2 linked regions of the Elephas maximus indicus genome follow. Each later gene encodes a partner of the first gene's protein in a complex. Links are inferred from orthologs where the notes say so. Each region holds a gene or a part of one and is shown on either strand. Other genes may lie near its edges.

Region 1 (7,998 bases):
AGTTCTTCAGTTTTTCACACATGAAACTGTAAGAAGTATATCTACCCCAGTATATCTATGTCAGGAAATTAAGGGGCCAGGAAGAAAATAAAAAGACACAGAAATAGGAATTGAGGGAGAAATTAGCAGAAAAAAAGAACATGAAAATATAAATGAGAGAAGAGCAGGTCAAGGTGAGTAAAAAAGAAAAAAAACGCGATAGACAAAAATAAAGGAGGTAGAAACATCAACCCCTTTAAGAAAAAAAAAGTCATTAAAGATAGAAGACTCATTTAAGATTAACGAAGTATGCAAGCAATACTTGTACCTCCACCTGTTGCTGTCAATTCTGACGCATAGCAACCCTATAGGACAGAGTAGTACTGCCCTATAGAGTTTCCAAGGAACACCTGGTGGATCCGAACTGCCGAATTTTGGGTGTACAGCCACAGCACTTAACCACTACATCGGCAGGGCTTCCGCATAAGAAATAGTAAACCTCAAAGTCTAGATCTGTCTGATGGTCAGAATATTTTGCAAAATATTCTTAAAAAAATAAAATATTTTGAAGATACCTTGTCAAAAATGTGTGGTAATCTCTTTGGATGAAAAGGACAATGCTAATTCTAAAGTTAAACATAAGCTAGATAAGATAGCCATACTAGGTTGATTTATGAATAGACATAGGAGGTCCTTCCTACTAGCTGAGAAATTGATTTCCAAACATGTGAGCTGATCTAACCCAGTATCTATTGAAAGGGTGGAGATCTTTTCAAAGCAATGTTTTAAAGATGCCTAGCACTGGGATAGGCAGTAGAATAGACCATAGAATGCCTTTGCAGTCTAGTCTTGTAAATAAAACCAAAACCAAGCAGGTTGTCGTGGAGTTGATTCAAAATCATAGCGACCCTATAGGGCAGAGTAGAATCATCCCACAGGGTTTCCAAGGAGTGGCTGATAGATTTGAACTGCCAACCTTTTGGTTAGCAGCCCAACACTCAAACCACTACACCACCAAAAAAAAATAATAAATAAACCAAACCCAGTGCCGTCGAGTCGATTCCAACTCCTAGCGACCCTATAGGACAGGGTAGAACTGCCCCATAGAGTTTCCAAGGAGCACCTGGCAGATTCGAACTGCCAGCCCTTTGGTTAGCAGCTGTAGCACTTAACCACAACGCCACCAGGGTTTCCACTACGCCACCAGGGCCTAAAAATAACTAGAAAGCAACATAACGCAGTATATAATTGGTGTCAGACTGCATTAAATATTGGCTTTTAAGTGTGTAAGAATTTTCAAAAAGGGGAATTCTGCAAATTATACCTAAGCTCTCGGGCTGAATATAGGCGGTATGTGAGCACTTACAGATCAGTTGTAACCAAGACCTGCTAACTGGCCAGTTCAATGCCTTATATTGACTGACTGATAGTGGTGACTGAAGTGAACGCATTGGAGGTGTGGGATGCTGTTTAGGATTGAATTGTGTCCCCCCCAAAATCCTAACCTCTACAATTGTGGTTATAATCCCACTTGGGAATGGCTTTTCTTATGTTAATTAGGCAGTATTAGTCTAGGAAGGAGTCCTGGTGGCAAAGTGGTTAAGCATTTGGCTGCTAACCCAATGGTAACCCATCAGCTGCTCCACAGGAGAAAGATGTGGCAGTCTGCTTCCATAAGGATTTACAGCCTTTGAAATTCTATGGGGCAGCTCTACTCTATTCTATAGGGTTGCTGTGAGTGAGAATCCACTCGATGGCAATGGGTTTGGTAAGGATTTGATTAGTGTAGAGTGTGTCTTCAGTCAATCTGTTCTGAGATAAAAAAGAGATTAAACAAGTGAGCAAGGAGAGATGGAGGAAGATAGATGCTACACCACACAAAGATCACCAAGAAGCCAAGGAATAGAAGCTGAAGAGATAATGACCTTCTCCCAAAGCCAGCAGAGAAAGTCTTCCCCTAGAGCTGTTGCCCTGATTTCAGACTTCTAGTCTTCCAGTTGACTCGATGGCAGCAGGTTAGCCTTCCAAACTTGAGAAAATAAATCTCTGTTTGTTAAAGCCACCTACTTGCGTTATTTCTACTATAGCAGTACTAAATAACTAAGAAAGATGCTAACACACTGCAGGCCTTCAAGCCAAGGCTATATGAAAACTTGTTGGGGATGCTGTACTTGGAATTTATGCATTAGGCAATAGCTGGAGTAGTTACTTCGATGGTCTCTTCTGAGGTTCTAAAATTAAAAAAAGAAAGAAAGAAAAAAATGTTATCAGAGGACCACCATAAGTACCGGTAGTACTTCATTATTCTCTTAAGTACTATAAACTACTTCATTCTGCTCTTTTTCATTTCCTAACCTTCTTTCTGGGCTAGCATAGAATTTAGTAACCCAACACCTACAGCTCTTACCCATACACTTAATGAATGCCATTGAGTCTGCTTTCTTGTTCATTCTTTCTTTCAGAATGTGTTTAGGTATTGCACACCTTCTTGATTAGTGGCGTAGTGGTTAAGAGTTAAACATAAACTAGATAAGCTAAGCTACGGCTGCTAACCAAAAGGTCGGCAATTCAAATCCACTAGGTGCTCCTTGGAAACTGTGTGGCGCAGTTCTACTCTACCCTATAGGGTTGCTGAGTTGGAATTGACTCAATGGCAATGGGTTTTTTTTTTTTTTGGTTTCTTGATTAGTATACTATATTCTAGAGCAGTGGTTCTCAAACTCAATTGAGCAAACAGGTACTTGGAGACTCACTAAAGGAGTATAGATTGTTGAGCCCTCTGGCCCACAGTTCAGAGGGCCTGATTCAGAGGGGTCTGAAAATATGCATTTCTAGCAAGTTTCTTGGATATTGCTGGTCTGAGGTCACTTTGACAACTATAGTTCTGTAACTATAGTTCTGGTGACTGACTAGTCCATCTTCATTCTCCCAGGTGGTACACTGGGTAAGAGGTAGAACGATTTAGGAATTCTCAGAACTACTATTTAATCAAGTTTATCACTGACTTGATAACTGGCCTACGCAAACTTCTGAAGTAAATGTACAGAGTGTACCTTGTCACCTCTTTTAGCAATCTTTACTCTTTTTCCCAGGCCTCTATTACAGCCCCCCATCTACAATCTGCTCCTATGCTGGTTTGATTGTCCTTATCAGAAAAAATATTGATCTCAAAAATCAATATTCAATGGTATTCAAGGTTGATCCATCCAGTACAAATCTAAAAGACAAGAACAATATATGAATCTAAATGGGTACGTTATCAATCGCATTAGTTTTCTAGGGCTGCCATAATAAGGTACCACAAACTGGATGGCTTAACACAATAGAAATTCACTCACAGTTCTGGAGGCTAGAAGCCTGAAATAAAAATGTCAGCAGGCCATGCTATCTCTCCTAGCTTTTGATGGTTTTGGCAATCTTTGGCATTCCTTGGCTTGTAGATACATAACTCCAGGCTCTCTCCATTGTCACATGGGCTGTGTCTACATTTCCCTCTTTTTATAAGGGCAGCAGTCATATTAGGTTTAGGGCCTACCCACATGCAGTGGACCCTCATCCTGATTATACCTGCAAAGACCCTATTTCCAAATATGGGCACATTCACAGGTTCTGGGTGAACATGATTTTTTGGGGGGACACTACTCAACCCAGGTAGATGGTGAGCAAAAAAGAGGAAGAACCCCAACGAGATGGAGTGATACAGTGGCTGCAGCAATGGCCTCAAAAACACCGATTGTGAGGATGGCCCAGGACAAGGCAATTTCGTTGTAAATAGAGAAATGACAGCACGTAACAACATCCAACCCAGTACACCAATAGTGTAATCTCAAACAATGGAAATGAGTCCATCACATACATGAATGCATACCACAGCTTACATACATTCTAGTACAAAAAGCAAAACAAATCCTCTCTCTTTGGCCATACTAAGGGTGGGATTTGTTAATTGATAATTTTTAAAATTACATCTATCTTTTTTTTTTTTTTGATACTTTAGGGTCTCTCTGGCATTTGGCTTATTGAAGGTGCTGTGTCAACTCACATATGCACCATGCCCTGCAGTTTTCTGCACAAGTGTGAGGAGAAAAGCATGGTTGGTGTCGGCTGTGGCTCCTCCTTCCCACACCCCTTCCTTAGTACTCACGAGACTTGCAATGGCACAGGTGAAAGTACGTGTCTGTGTGTTTTAAAAAAAACAAAACATATATTGGTAGACATCTGACTTCACAACCACATTTATTTCTACCAAAGCTCCCGTTATTCCCATATAAAACCAAAAAAAACCCAGTGCCGTGGTCCTGTTTATTTGTTTCCTTCTTTTGGGTACCAGAAAGTCTTTTTTTTTTTTTTTGAGTTTGTAATAGTCGTACTGTGATTTATATCATGCAAAAAAAAAAAAAAAAAAAAATTAACGGTACAGCCTGGGTCTTGGCAGCAGCATCACAAGCCCCTCATCCACCCCCACAGCTGGCTGCTATCTGGGCCTCCGGCTAAGGCCGTTTTATCCACGGGTCTGGAAGTAAGGGACTGGCTCTGTGGCACCTTCCTTTCCCTTTCTCATTCCTTCCTCTCCACTGCCTCCTTGTCCCTCTCATCTCTCCCGTCTTCAAGGCGCTCAGGGGCCTCGCCTCCTTTACCCTATCTCCTGCAACCAGAGAGGACCGCCACGGGTTAGTTGGGCTTGCGCCGCCGTTCTGGTAGGCACGAGGCCCCTTACGCAGGCCACCCGCCCATCAAACAAAGCCCCGGGAGGCAGGCGCGCGCCGCCGGCGACACCCAAAGAAGCGGTCGTACCGCCACGCGCTCTAAACAGAGCGGGACAGCGAGCCAGGCCACGCGCCGCGCGCCCCCGCCGCTTCCTTCCCTCCGGACTCTTCCTTTTCCTCCCTCCAGGCCCCGTTCCCCCCGCCCCCGCGCCGGGAACGCGCCTGCGCAGACACTGCCCTCTCCCTCCTCCTCCGCCCTTCCTTCCCTCCGTTCCTCCTCCCCTGTCCCGCCTTCCTTTCTCTCTCCTTGGGTTTCACTGAGCTCTAGGTTGTGAGCAGTTCAGTTCATTTCCCCAGCACCCCGCCCCCCTTCTTCATTCTCTCTCCACCCCTCCCATCTCCAGCCCGGTGGAGGATGAAGCGGCCACAGTGGCCCCAGCCCCAGCAGCAACACCGGCGGTGGCTTTGGTGGGGGTGGCGGGAACTCCGGTGGTGAAGAGGCGGTGGTGGCGGCGGCAGCAGTGGCTGAAGCAGTGGAAGCCGCCCCAGCCGCTTCCCCCTTGCTTCCCTTCCTCTTTAGTGCAGCCAGGAAGTTTTTCGCTTCTCTGCATGTGTGTGTGCGTGCGTGTGGGTGTGTAAAGTGAAGGTTTGGGCAGCGTTTGTGCAGGCGTAGGATTTTTTGCCCACTTCGCTTCCCGTAACCCGGGCAGCTCCAGAGCCTGGGCTGTGGCCCGAGGAGGGGGCGCGGCGGCGTCGGGCTCTCTCCTTTTGTTGTTGTTTCCTCCGCCTGGGGAACTGAAGGGGGAACGCGCCTGGGTGGGGCGACTCGGAGCCCGGGCCTGGTGGCCCCCGGGGCTCCCGGGCAGGCAGGGCAGGGCAGAGTAGAGCGGGCTTCAACATGATGGCGGCCGAGGCCGGCAGCGAGGAGGGCGGCCCGGTGACCGGCGGGGCAGGAGGCGGCGGCGCGGCGGCAGGCTCGAATGCCTATCCGGCTGTGTGTCGGATGAAGATACCTGCGGCCCTGCCTGTGGCATCCGCCCCTTATCCTGGGCTGACCGAGGCTGAAGTGGTCGGGAATCTGAGTGGCGGAGCTTCATATGGGCCAGCGTTCCTAGGAGCCGGGTCTGTGGTGGGGACACTGGGGGGAGCCGGACTGACAGGGGGAGGTGCTACCGCTGGTGTGGCTGGTGCAGCTGCCCCCGGCCCTGGTGGGGACATGGCTCTCACCAAGGGGCCCGCTTCGTTGCTTGCTGAGACCCTAGGGCCAGGCGGCGGATTTCCCCCTCTGCCGCCGCCGCCTCAGCTGCCTACTTTGGGCGCGAGCCTGGCGACAGTGGACGAAGGTGACTCTCTGGATGGACCAGAATATGAGGAAGAAGAGGTGGCCATCCCCCTGACCGCTCCCCCAACTAACCAGTAAGTCAAGACTGCTGTTGAGGGACCCGGGAAGCGGCCTCCAGGAAAGAAGTGGGGAGTAAAAGTGGGGAAACGTATGGTGTTCTTTCACCTGTGATTTGTTCTGGAAAAAGTTTTTAAGTTTCAGGCTCCATGTGCGGGGATTTAATATAATCACCCATCTTCCTTACAGGTATATCGTATCTCCTGGCGCCTTCGTATATTTATTGCTCCTCTGGGAAGATGGAAAGTTTTTAAGATGGGAAGCATGGAAAAATATGTATTCATTGAGAACCGGATATGGTTCTGCTCCTTCTAAATTGAGGTGGTGTCCCAGGATTCAGCTGAGTTTGCAGCTACCAAGGCAGTCATTGACTATGTTAACCTGTGTGTGTGTTCCCAGAAGCTTTGAATACGAGCATTTGAGTATTGGGTTAACATCATTCGAGAATGCATTGGTCAGAAGGCTTTGTTTTTGTTGAACTGCAAATCCCAATTTTTGTCTGCTGAAAACACAGTGATATAGAAAAGTCTCTGGATCTTTTAGGCGGTCAGAGAGAATTAGGAAAGCAGTTCTGTGAATTCCAGGTGTGATTAAGGGTTTCATACTCCAACGATGTCTGTAACTTGTTTCATAGAGTATATGTCACTACCAGTGTAATTCCTTTGTAGTTGAGATTCTGTAAGTACAATACTGAAGCAAAACAAAATTAATAGTGCTTCTTATCAGCACTTTTTGTTGGTGGCCAATACAATATCCTGTTTGAAAATTAATTTTAACAGTTGCTGTAGAATATATATGACAGATTTTTTTTTTTTTTATTGTTAGTACCTTCCCTTTGTTATTTTCATAAGTGGACTTTGGTATGTGTTTAAAAAGGTGGACCTTGATGAGACCAAGATGTTGAGATGGGAAATGGTAATAGCTGACAAAACTTGTTTTGTAGACTCCCCACATCAGTTTAATTGACAGAATTTCAGAATATTTGATGATTATCCCAGGAAAAAAGATTTGGTTCATATGATGACAGTCACTGGACAATCAAAAGCCTTCATCAGAGAATTTAGAAAGAAGAAAAAAAAAAAAAAAGAAATTAGCAAGAGATATTGTAATACCAATCTATTTTTGACTTAAGGCATTATGTTTTGATATTTAAGGTGGAAAAGTAAATTAGTCTTATTTATGCCAGTTACGGTATAAGAATGTTGAATATTCCTTTTATACTATTCCATAGAGTTCAGTTTTTTTTGTGTAATTTTATTCTGGCTTATGTCTGTGCATTGCAGATATTTTTGGAGGGGGTTATGGCTTTATTAAAAATTCCAATTTTACCCTGAGGGACCAGATTACTGGGCTGAGGACTGTGGGGACCATGGTCTCCAGGAACATCTAGCTCAATTGGCATAACATAGTTTACAAAGAAAATGTACTACATTCTACTTTGGTGAGTAGCGTCTGGGGTCTTAAAAGCTTATGAGCGGCCATCTAAGATGCTAGATTGATCTCATCCCATCTGGAGCAAGGGAGAATGAAGAAAACCAAAGACGCAAGGGAAAGATTAGTCCAAAGAACTGGTAGACTACAACTACCATAACCTCCACCAGACTGAGTCCAGTACAACTAGATAGTGCCCAGCTACCACCACTGACTGCTCTTACGGGGAGCACAAGAGAGGATCCTGAACAGAGCTGGAGAACAATGTAGGATAAAATTCAAACTCACAAAACAAAACAAAAAACCAGACTTACTGGTCTGACAGAGACTGGAGAAACCCTGAGAATATGGCCCCCGGACACCGTTGTAATTCAGTACTGAAGTCACTCCTGAGGTTCATCCTTCAGCCAAAGGTTAGACTGGACCGTAAAACAAAATGAGACTAAGTGGGCACACCAGCCCAGGGGCAAGGACAAGGCAGGA
Region 2 (6,987 bases), on another chromosome or scaffold:
CCCTCAGCTCCCATGGCTGGGAGTGCCTGCAATATCAGAGGGCAGAAATCTGAGTGACACTTGGCACTTTCTTTCAACAAAAAACCACAAAGTGCTTTCCAAACCCAGGCCCTCACCATTCTGAAGACCAAGAAACTGAAGCTTTCCTGGGGCAGAGGGTGAAAAAGAAATAAGCCCACACTCCCTCTGCCCCTCCCCAAAGGTCACACTGCAAACCAGAGGCCACTGGATGGGGCAGCTTCTGTAGCCCCAGAGCAGTCAACACACCAAGTGTGGCGCTGCACCCCCTCTAGGAGTGGGGAGAAGTCGAGAAATGGCAGTTCCCCAACCACGCGTAAAACAAAATTATAAATTGTCTGCTGGGGGAAGAAAAAAAAACACATTACTAAGTTCTCTCCAAGGGTTCTGGCCTGGAGGTGGAAGGGGAGAGGGTACCACTCACTGTCTCTTTAGCTCAGAGAAGGTGAGAAGGAAAGGGAGACAGAGAAGACAGACTTGGCAGCAGCTGCACTTGCCCCTTTTCCAGAGAGAGGACACAAAGCTGCAAAGCCCAGAGGGCTACACCAATGGGGTGGGCAACAAATGGAGCACAGAAAAGACGACAGGACCACAGAGAGAGCCAAGAGTGAGCCAGCGCCCACCACCAAACTTGGTGGAGGTGGGAGAAATGGGGGAGATACTCCCAGACTCCAGGTAGCAGTAACCAATCCACCACGACCCCCACCCCCCCACCCCACCTATTTGCCCAGACGGCACAATCTCCCCTTGGGATAAAGCTCTCAGGGTCAGGATGCAGGACAGACGGTCTGCACTAAAATCAAAGCCTAGAGAACCTAGGACTGGCCAGCCACTTCATCACCAAAGCTAAGGAACGGAGAGGGAGAAAGACTTGCCTAAAAGAAGGACTCACTCAAGGGGGAATGGGTGGGTCAGCAGTGGGGAACTGGGAAAAGCAGGTCTGATAGGAACTACTTGGGGAGAGAAGGCACCAGACACCCACAAGGGAAAGAAAAGGTAGGGGAGGCAACCAGTCAAAGAAGAACAGAATTGGGCAAGGGGTATCCAAAAGAAGTGTGAATTAAGAACCTATCAAAGAACTGAAGCAGCTCTAAGAAGAAGCTTGCTGGGGTGGGGGAAAGTATGATAGCAGAAATGGGTGAGAAGACATCTCTAATACTAGACAGAACTGGGGAAAGAGAACTCAAAAAGGAGGTAAGAGGCAGGGCAAAAAGGGAAGGACAGCCACAAAAAAGGACAGCAGGGAGGGTGAGAGCTGGATCAAAATGGTGGGGGAGAAAATGTCAGGTAGAAAACTTCGACTTGAGAGGGAAAAGAAGCTGAGGCAGTTAATAGATTCATATTAAAGAGGACCACTTCAAGAGGGGACAGCAACAAAAAAGTTAAAATGGGTCTGAAACTAAGTGGGCAAATGGACAGCTCCAAAGAGGGTGGGGGCAGAATCAAGCAAAGGAGGAAAAAGAGCAGGGGCAAAAAAGGATTTGAGGGCAGGTCTGTGAGATGCAAAATGGGAAGGGAATGGGGTGATGAGTAAGACAGAAGTTATCAAAGGTATAGCGAGGTAAACGGCAAATCCAAGGGGGGCCAAAATTAGGAAAGGACCAGGAGCAAAGAGGGAGCCATGTGGCAGATCCCAGGCAAAGAACTGAAGGGGAGGCAGACCAAAGAAAGGGGGGGGGCAAATGAATGGGACAGCTCAAAAATAATGCCAGAAAGAAAGTGGGGAAGCAAGGAAACCTCAAATACAACATTGAGGACAGGCGTCAGGACCTCAGGATGAAGTGGATGCTGTGAGGAAGAGGAGAAAGATCAGAAAAGAAGTTAACCGCACAAATGAGACAAATACAGGGTCAGAGAAGAGGAGCAGGCTACTTCATGGGAAGGCACAGCGGGGAAAGCCAGCGGGTTTGCCACACAACAAGGTCTGAAACTGGGCAAAGGGCAATGCTGGATGGCAGAAAGGTCTGGAAGAAAGAAAAGGGTCTGAAAGGCAAAAGAAAACAACATATGAGAAAAAAAAGGAAACAAATGTGGTGCATCCAAGTTCCAGGGGGAGCAGGAAGGGTCAGAAAGCAGAGGGGCATCCCCGGAGGTGCGGCAGGTTCTGGGAGAGAGCAAGGACAGAACTGCGGGGCAGCAGAAGCCAAGAAGGAGATGGAATGAAGCCCAAGAGGAAGAAGTGGGGTCAGCAGTGCCAAAACGAGCAGGGCGCTGAACCAGGTCTCGATGGGTCTCCAAGGAGGTGGAATCGCAGGTCCTAGAGGGACAGCTCCTGGGGGTGCAACCGATTCAGAGCGAGGGGGAGTCAGCAGGAGGAGGAGATGATGAGAGAAGGCAGCCAGGGACAGATCCGAAGGGCGGTGATAGCAGATTCGGAGAAGAAGCAAAAGGGTCATGGATCTCAAAAGAGGGGAGCCAGAATTAAGGGATGCAGAGGGTCAGAGAGGAGGAGGCGGGTCTCATGAGCACTGCAGAGTCCAGAAGGAGCGAAGAGCATTACTCAGGGCGGAAGAGGGAAGGGGGGGGCGCAGGAGAGAGCAGAGCGGCCGAAGTGGGGGTACAGAGGCAGATAACCCGAGATCCCAAAGGGTGGGGAGAAGGGAAAACCGAGGGGACAGCAGGGCCGGGACGGGCACGTCCGAAGAGAGCCGGGACCTGCGGGCCGGGCCGAGGTGCGGGCGCGGGGGGCTGGGGGCCGCTCCCTCCCCTCCCCCTCCGGCTCCTCCATTGTTCACGGGCTGCGGGCCCCGCCGTCCCCGCCTCCCCCTGGACCCCGCAGCGGGGCGGCGCCCAGCCTCGCTAGCTCGCGCACTCACCAGCTGGGTGCCCTCAGTGCGGCCCCGGCCCCCGGGATCCCGGCCGCGGCGACGGCGGCCCCGGCGCCATGTTCTGCTGCTCTTCGTCCAGCGGCGGGTGAGGCGGCGGCGGCTCCGGCGGCGGGGGGCCGGGCGGACCCTCCCTCGCGGGCTCCCTCCTCCGCCTCCACCACCTCCTCCTCCTCGTGCCGCGCCGCGGCTCTCCCTCGGGGCGGGGGGCGGGGGGGAAGGGGGAGGGGCGGGAACAGGGGGAGGGCGGACCGGCCTCGCTCGCTCGCTCCCTCACTCCCTCCCTCGCAATGGCGGCGACGGCTGCGACCGCGGCGCCTCCTTTCTGCGGCCGCCGCTCCCGCACGCGCGCCCCCACTACTGCGCGTGCGCGGCGCGGGGACCGCTGCAGGGGGATAACGGCCCCTGGGTGCGCGCCGCGAGGGGACTGCCGGCGCAGGACAGCGAGCCGAAGCGAGAAGCGCGTGCGCGCTCGAGGGGCTCACAGACACCGCGGCGGCGTGGGGCTGGAAACGGGCGTGGAGGATGCAGTGCGCGTGCGCCCCGAGAAGCCGCTACTGCGGTGGCTGCGGCGCGAGACTGTGAGCGCGAGGAGACCCACGACCCGGCAGACTGGGTTGGGCAAGTGCGCGTGCGCGGGAGGGGGGCCTCCCGGCGGTGGGCGTGGCCCTCAGGGGGCGGGCGCGCCCATGCGCGCGCCCGAAGCAGCCGATCCCCGGGTTCGCGCTGGCTCTGGAGAGAGCAATAGGGGAGAGGCATGGCCGGGCTTTGGGGGCGGGAGTGAGGGGGGTGTGATTCCGCTCGCGCGGGACCTGACCAGCCAATGCGAGGCAAGGGGAGGTGGGTTTGCCGCGCGAGCCGCAGCCCCCAAGATAACGGAGGGGGAGAGGGAGAGAAGTAACTTGAGGCGGTGGGAGGGACTAGGGAATAAGGGAGCGCGTCCAACGAAGGAGTTGATTGGGGAACCTGAGGAGGCGTGGCTCGCCTCAGCCCAATCCGAGCCTCTCAATTCGTTCTCCCGGAAGAAGGGGCGGGGCTGGCGAGCGCGTGCTCTTTACCCTTGCAGTGAAGAAAATCTGCCCGCGATCGGCGCATTAATGGAAGTAGCTCCTGATTCCTTGATCGTCTGGTCTGGCGGTGAGGAGGCGGGGCCTGGTCCTGCAGAGCAACCCTCGCGGCCAATCAGCATTGCGCAAATGACTGCGACTATCAGTTGGGGAGCCTAGAGAGGAAGTAGAAATGATGGGAGAGGGCAACTCTGCAACCCTTGAGTTCTTCTGAACTGAGGGGTTTCCTCTGGGACCTCTCCGAAAGCACTGATCTTGGAAGTGAGCAATCTGAATGCCCAGTCAATATATGTGCAATGCATGAAGGAAGGGCTATGTTCCTATTGCATTTTGCATTTCTTTCCTCAGTCTCGTAATCTATACAATAGGATAATAATCGTATCTCCATAGCGTTCCGGTGAGAATTGAGTTATACTTGTAAAGTGCTGCGAATCGTGCCTTACACATAGTTAGAACTGCCCCATAGGGTTTCCAGTGCTCTAAAACTTTATGGAAGCAGACTGTCACATCTTTCTCTTGCGAAGTGGCTGGTAGGTTCAAACCACAACCTTTTGGTTAACAGCCCAGCATTTAACCATTGACCCAGCAGGGCTCCTAGATAACTCAGAGTAAGGCACTCAGAGGTTACATAGCTAATAAGTTGCAGATTTGGGATTGAAACCTAGGTGGTTGGGGTCAGGAAACTGCATATCTATTACTTCAAATCTGTCTTGGAAGAAGTATAGCCAGAATGTTCCTTAGAAGCAAGAATGGTGAGACTACTTCTCAATACTTTGGACATGTTATCAGGAGGGATCAGACCCTGGAGAAGGACATCATGCTTGGTAAAGTAGAGGGTCAGCAAAAAAGTGGAAGACCTTCAACAATATGAATTGACACATTCCAACAGTGGGCTCAGGTATAACAAAAATCATGAAGATGGCGCAGGACTGGGTCGGAACTGTCTCAACAGAACCTAACAACAATAACAACTTCTTCATAGCACTCCATCAGGGCTGATGCAACCAAACAAATGCATTGTGGTTCATTCACACAGTGGAAATACTACATTCAGTGAGAATAGACAACCTACCCTTGCACACAATAAAGTGGCTGGATCTCACAAACAACGTTGGTCGAAAAAAGCCAGGCACAAAAGAGTGCTAACTGTATGATTGCATTCATTAAAAGCCCAAAAACAGTCTCTTCTCTTTTATAAGATACTGCTCATATTGGACCAGGACCCACCCTACTCCAGTATGACCTCATGGTAACTTAAGTGATAACATCTTCAGAGACCCAATTTCCAAACAAGGTTACATTCACAGGTACCAGGGTATTAGCACTTGAACATAAATTTTGGGGGGACAAAATGATTTGGTACAACCATTTTATGTGTGAGTCCTTTGAAAGCAGGAACTCCGTCTAGCTAGTTCCATGTTATTGTAAATGGCCCATAATAAATGTTACAGAGTAGGACCGTTCCATGGGATTTCCTTGGCTGTGATCTTAATAGCCTTTCTTCCTTGGTACTGCTTGTTGTGCGCCAACCTACAACCTTTAGGTTAGCAGTCCAGTATAAACCCTTTGCACCATCTAGGGACCTTTCATAATGAATACTTGTTAATTAATGAATAAATGAATTAATCCAATACTAAACAAAGGGGACGGTAGGCACTGGGTGCATGGTAGCCAAAAAAATACAGCCTTTGTCCACTGACTAACTCCTACCCTTTTTTCAGATGCTAACTTAGATGTCCCCTCTTTCACCAGGCCCTACCTGACCCACTAGGCTGTGTCAGGTGTCCCCTTCGTAAGCTCCCACAGCCCCCTTGACTCCCCATTCAAGCCCTGATCACCCTGGGTCGACCTTGTGTAGTGACAGGTCTTTCTCTTCCACTGGACTGTGAGCCCTGTGAAGGCAGGGTTGGGGCTGTCTCAGTCGCGCCCAGCACAGATCCAGGCACAAGGCAGGCGCTCAGGCAGCATTTTGTTGGACAAATGGAACCATCAAGAAAGGCCCTTCTAGCCCTGCATATCTTTCTAGTGCACAAGAGGGCGGGAGTAAGCTGAGCAAGGCAACCACAGGAAGCCGGCTTCCCTGGGGGCAGCCGCCCCCGCACACCCGGCTAGCCTCCACTCCAGGATAAATAAACAACCAAGTAAACAATTAGCACACCGATAGAAGTGCCGACTGCCAGCCTGGGCCGCTGTCAAGATTTCCCAAGCATCGCCCTAGGGGCCCCAATGGCCGGAACTGGAGGTCAAGCCAACGGGGGAGCCGGGATAGGTACCAGCAAGGCCTGGGGACCTGGACCCGCATGGAAGAGACGCACAGGCAGAAAAATCCACAAAAGAATTTTGCAAAGAGGGTGGGGGCGCTGGGGCATTTGCTCTCTCCTTTCCTGAGAGAATCAGAACAGAGGATGGGAACGAGGCCTGCGCTTGCAGGAGTCGGTAAACCCACAGCGCCGCCTACAAGCCGAGCTGAGGAAGTTCAGCTGATGATACAGCTGGGATGCCTGAGAGCGGCGAATTCTTCCACCACTGGCTGGAAGGACAGCCAATCAAGAGGCCGGGATGCTCGGATTCAGGCCTTCATCCCAGCGCCTGAACAGAACTCCCGCTTGGCACACAGTAAGCACGCAATAAATATCTAATGGATGGCTGGGTGATGAAACTCTCTATTTTTTCATAAGCTTTTAAAATTGAAATCTAGCATACATACCGAGAAGTGCACGGATCACAAGTGTGCACCTTGATGAATATTCGCAAAGAGAAACACCCTTGAAACCAGCACCCAGATCAAGAAACACAACATGACCAATCCTCCTGTAACCCCCTCCAGTTACTCCCCTCCTCACACAAGGGGAACCTCTTTCCTGATTTCTGTGACCAAAGATTAGTTTTGCCTGTTTTCGACTTTATATAAATGGACCGTACATTTAGTACTTTCTTGCCCTTGGCTTCTTTTGACCAACACTGTGAGATTCAACCACGTCATTGTGTTACTTTTGTCCAGGTTGACTAATATTTCCTGGGTCAGCTGAAAACAACTTGGTTTTGATAATTTTTGTCTAGCCTTGAATTGCAGCCTG

What was found.
Region 2: the proteins of RASA1 (region 1) and ARHGAP35 are in contact, whole or in part, in a crystal structure (PDB 8DGQ), measured with the Homo sapiens proteins. The link is inferred for Elephas maximus indicus from reciprocal best matches to the Homo sapiens genes RASA1 and ARHGAP35. Residues at the interface, in NP_002881.1 of Homo sapiens: Arg188, Arg207, Ser209, Arg211, Val217, Asn228, His229, Phe230, Arg231, Ile241, Gly242, Tyr256, Leu262, Leu263, Lys264, Lys358, Ser379, Asp380, Asn381, Ser387, Gln397, Arg398, Phe399, Lys400, Met411, Gly412, Gly413, Arg414, His425, Tyr426; in NP_004482.4 of Homo sapiens: Ser1085, Asp1086, Tyr1087, Ala1088, Glu1089, Pro1090, Met1091, Asp1092, Ala1093, Val1094, Val1095, Arg1098, Glu1100, Asn1103, Ile1104, Tyr1105, Ser1106, Val1107, Pro1108, His1109.

What each region holds. Positions count from the first base shown.
Region 1 is NC_064820.1:93,611,475-93,619,472, forward strand, and holds the start of RASA1 (ras GTPase-activating protein 1), read left to right. Parts: upstream 1-4,967; 5' UTR 4,968-5,583; coding exon 5,584-6,101; intron 6,102-7,998. UniProt on the Homo sapiens protein: Inhibitory regulator of the Ras-cyclic AMP pathway. Stimulates the GTPase of normal but not oncogenic Ras p21; this stimulation may be further increased in the presence of NCK1.
Region 2 is NC_064829.1:102,129,968-102,136,954, forward strand, and holds the start of ARHGAP35 (rho GTPase-activating protein 35), read right to left. Parts: upstream 3,046-6,987; 5' UTR 2,835-3,045; intron 1-2,834.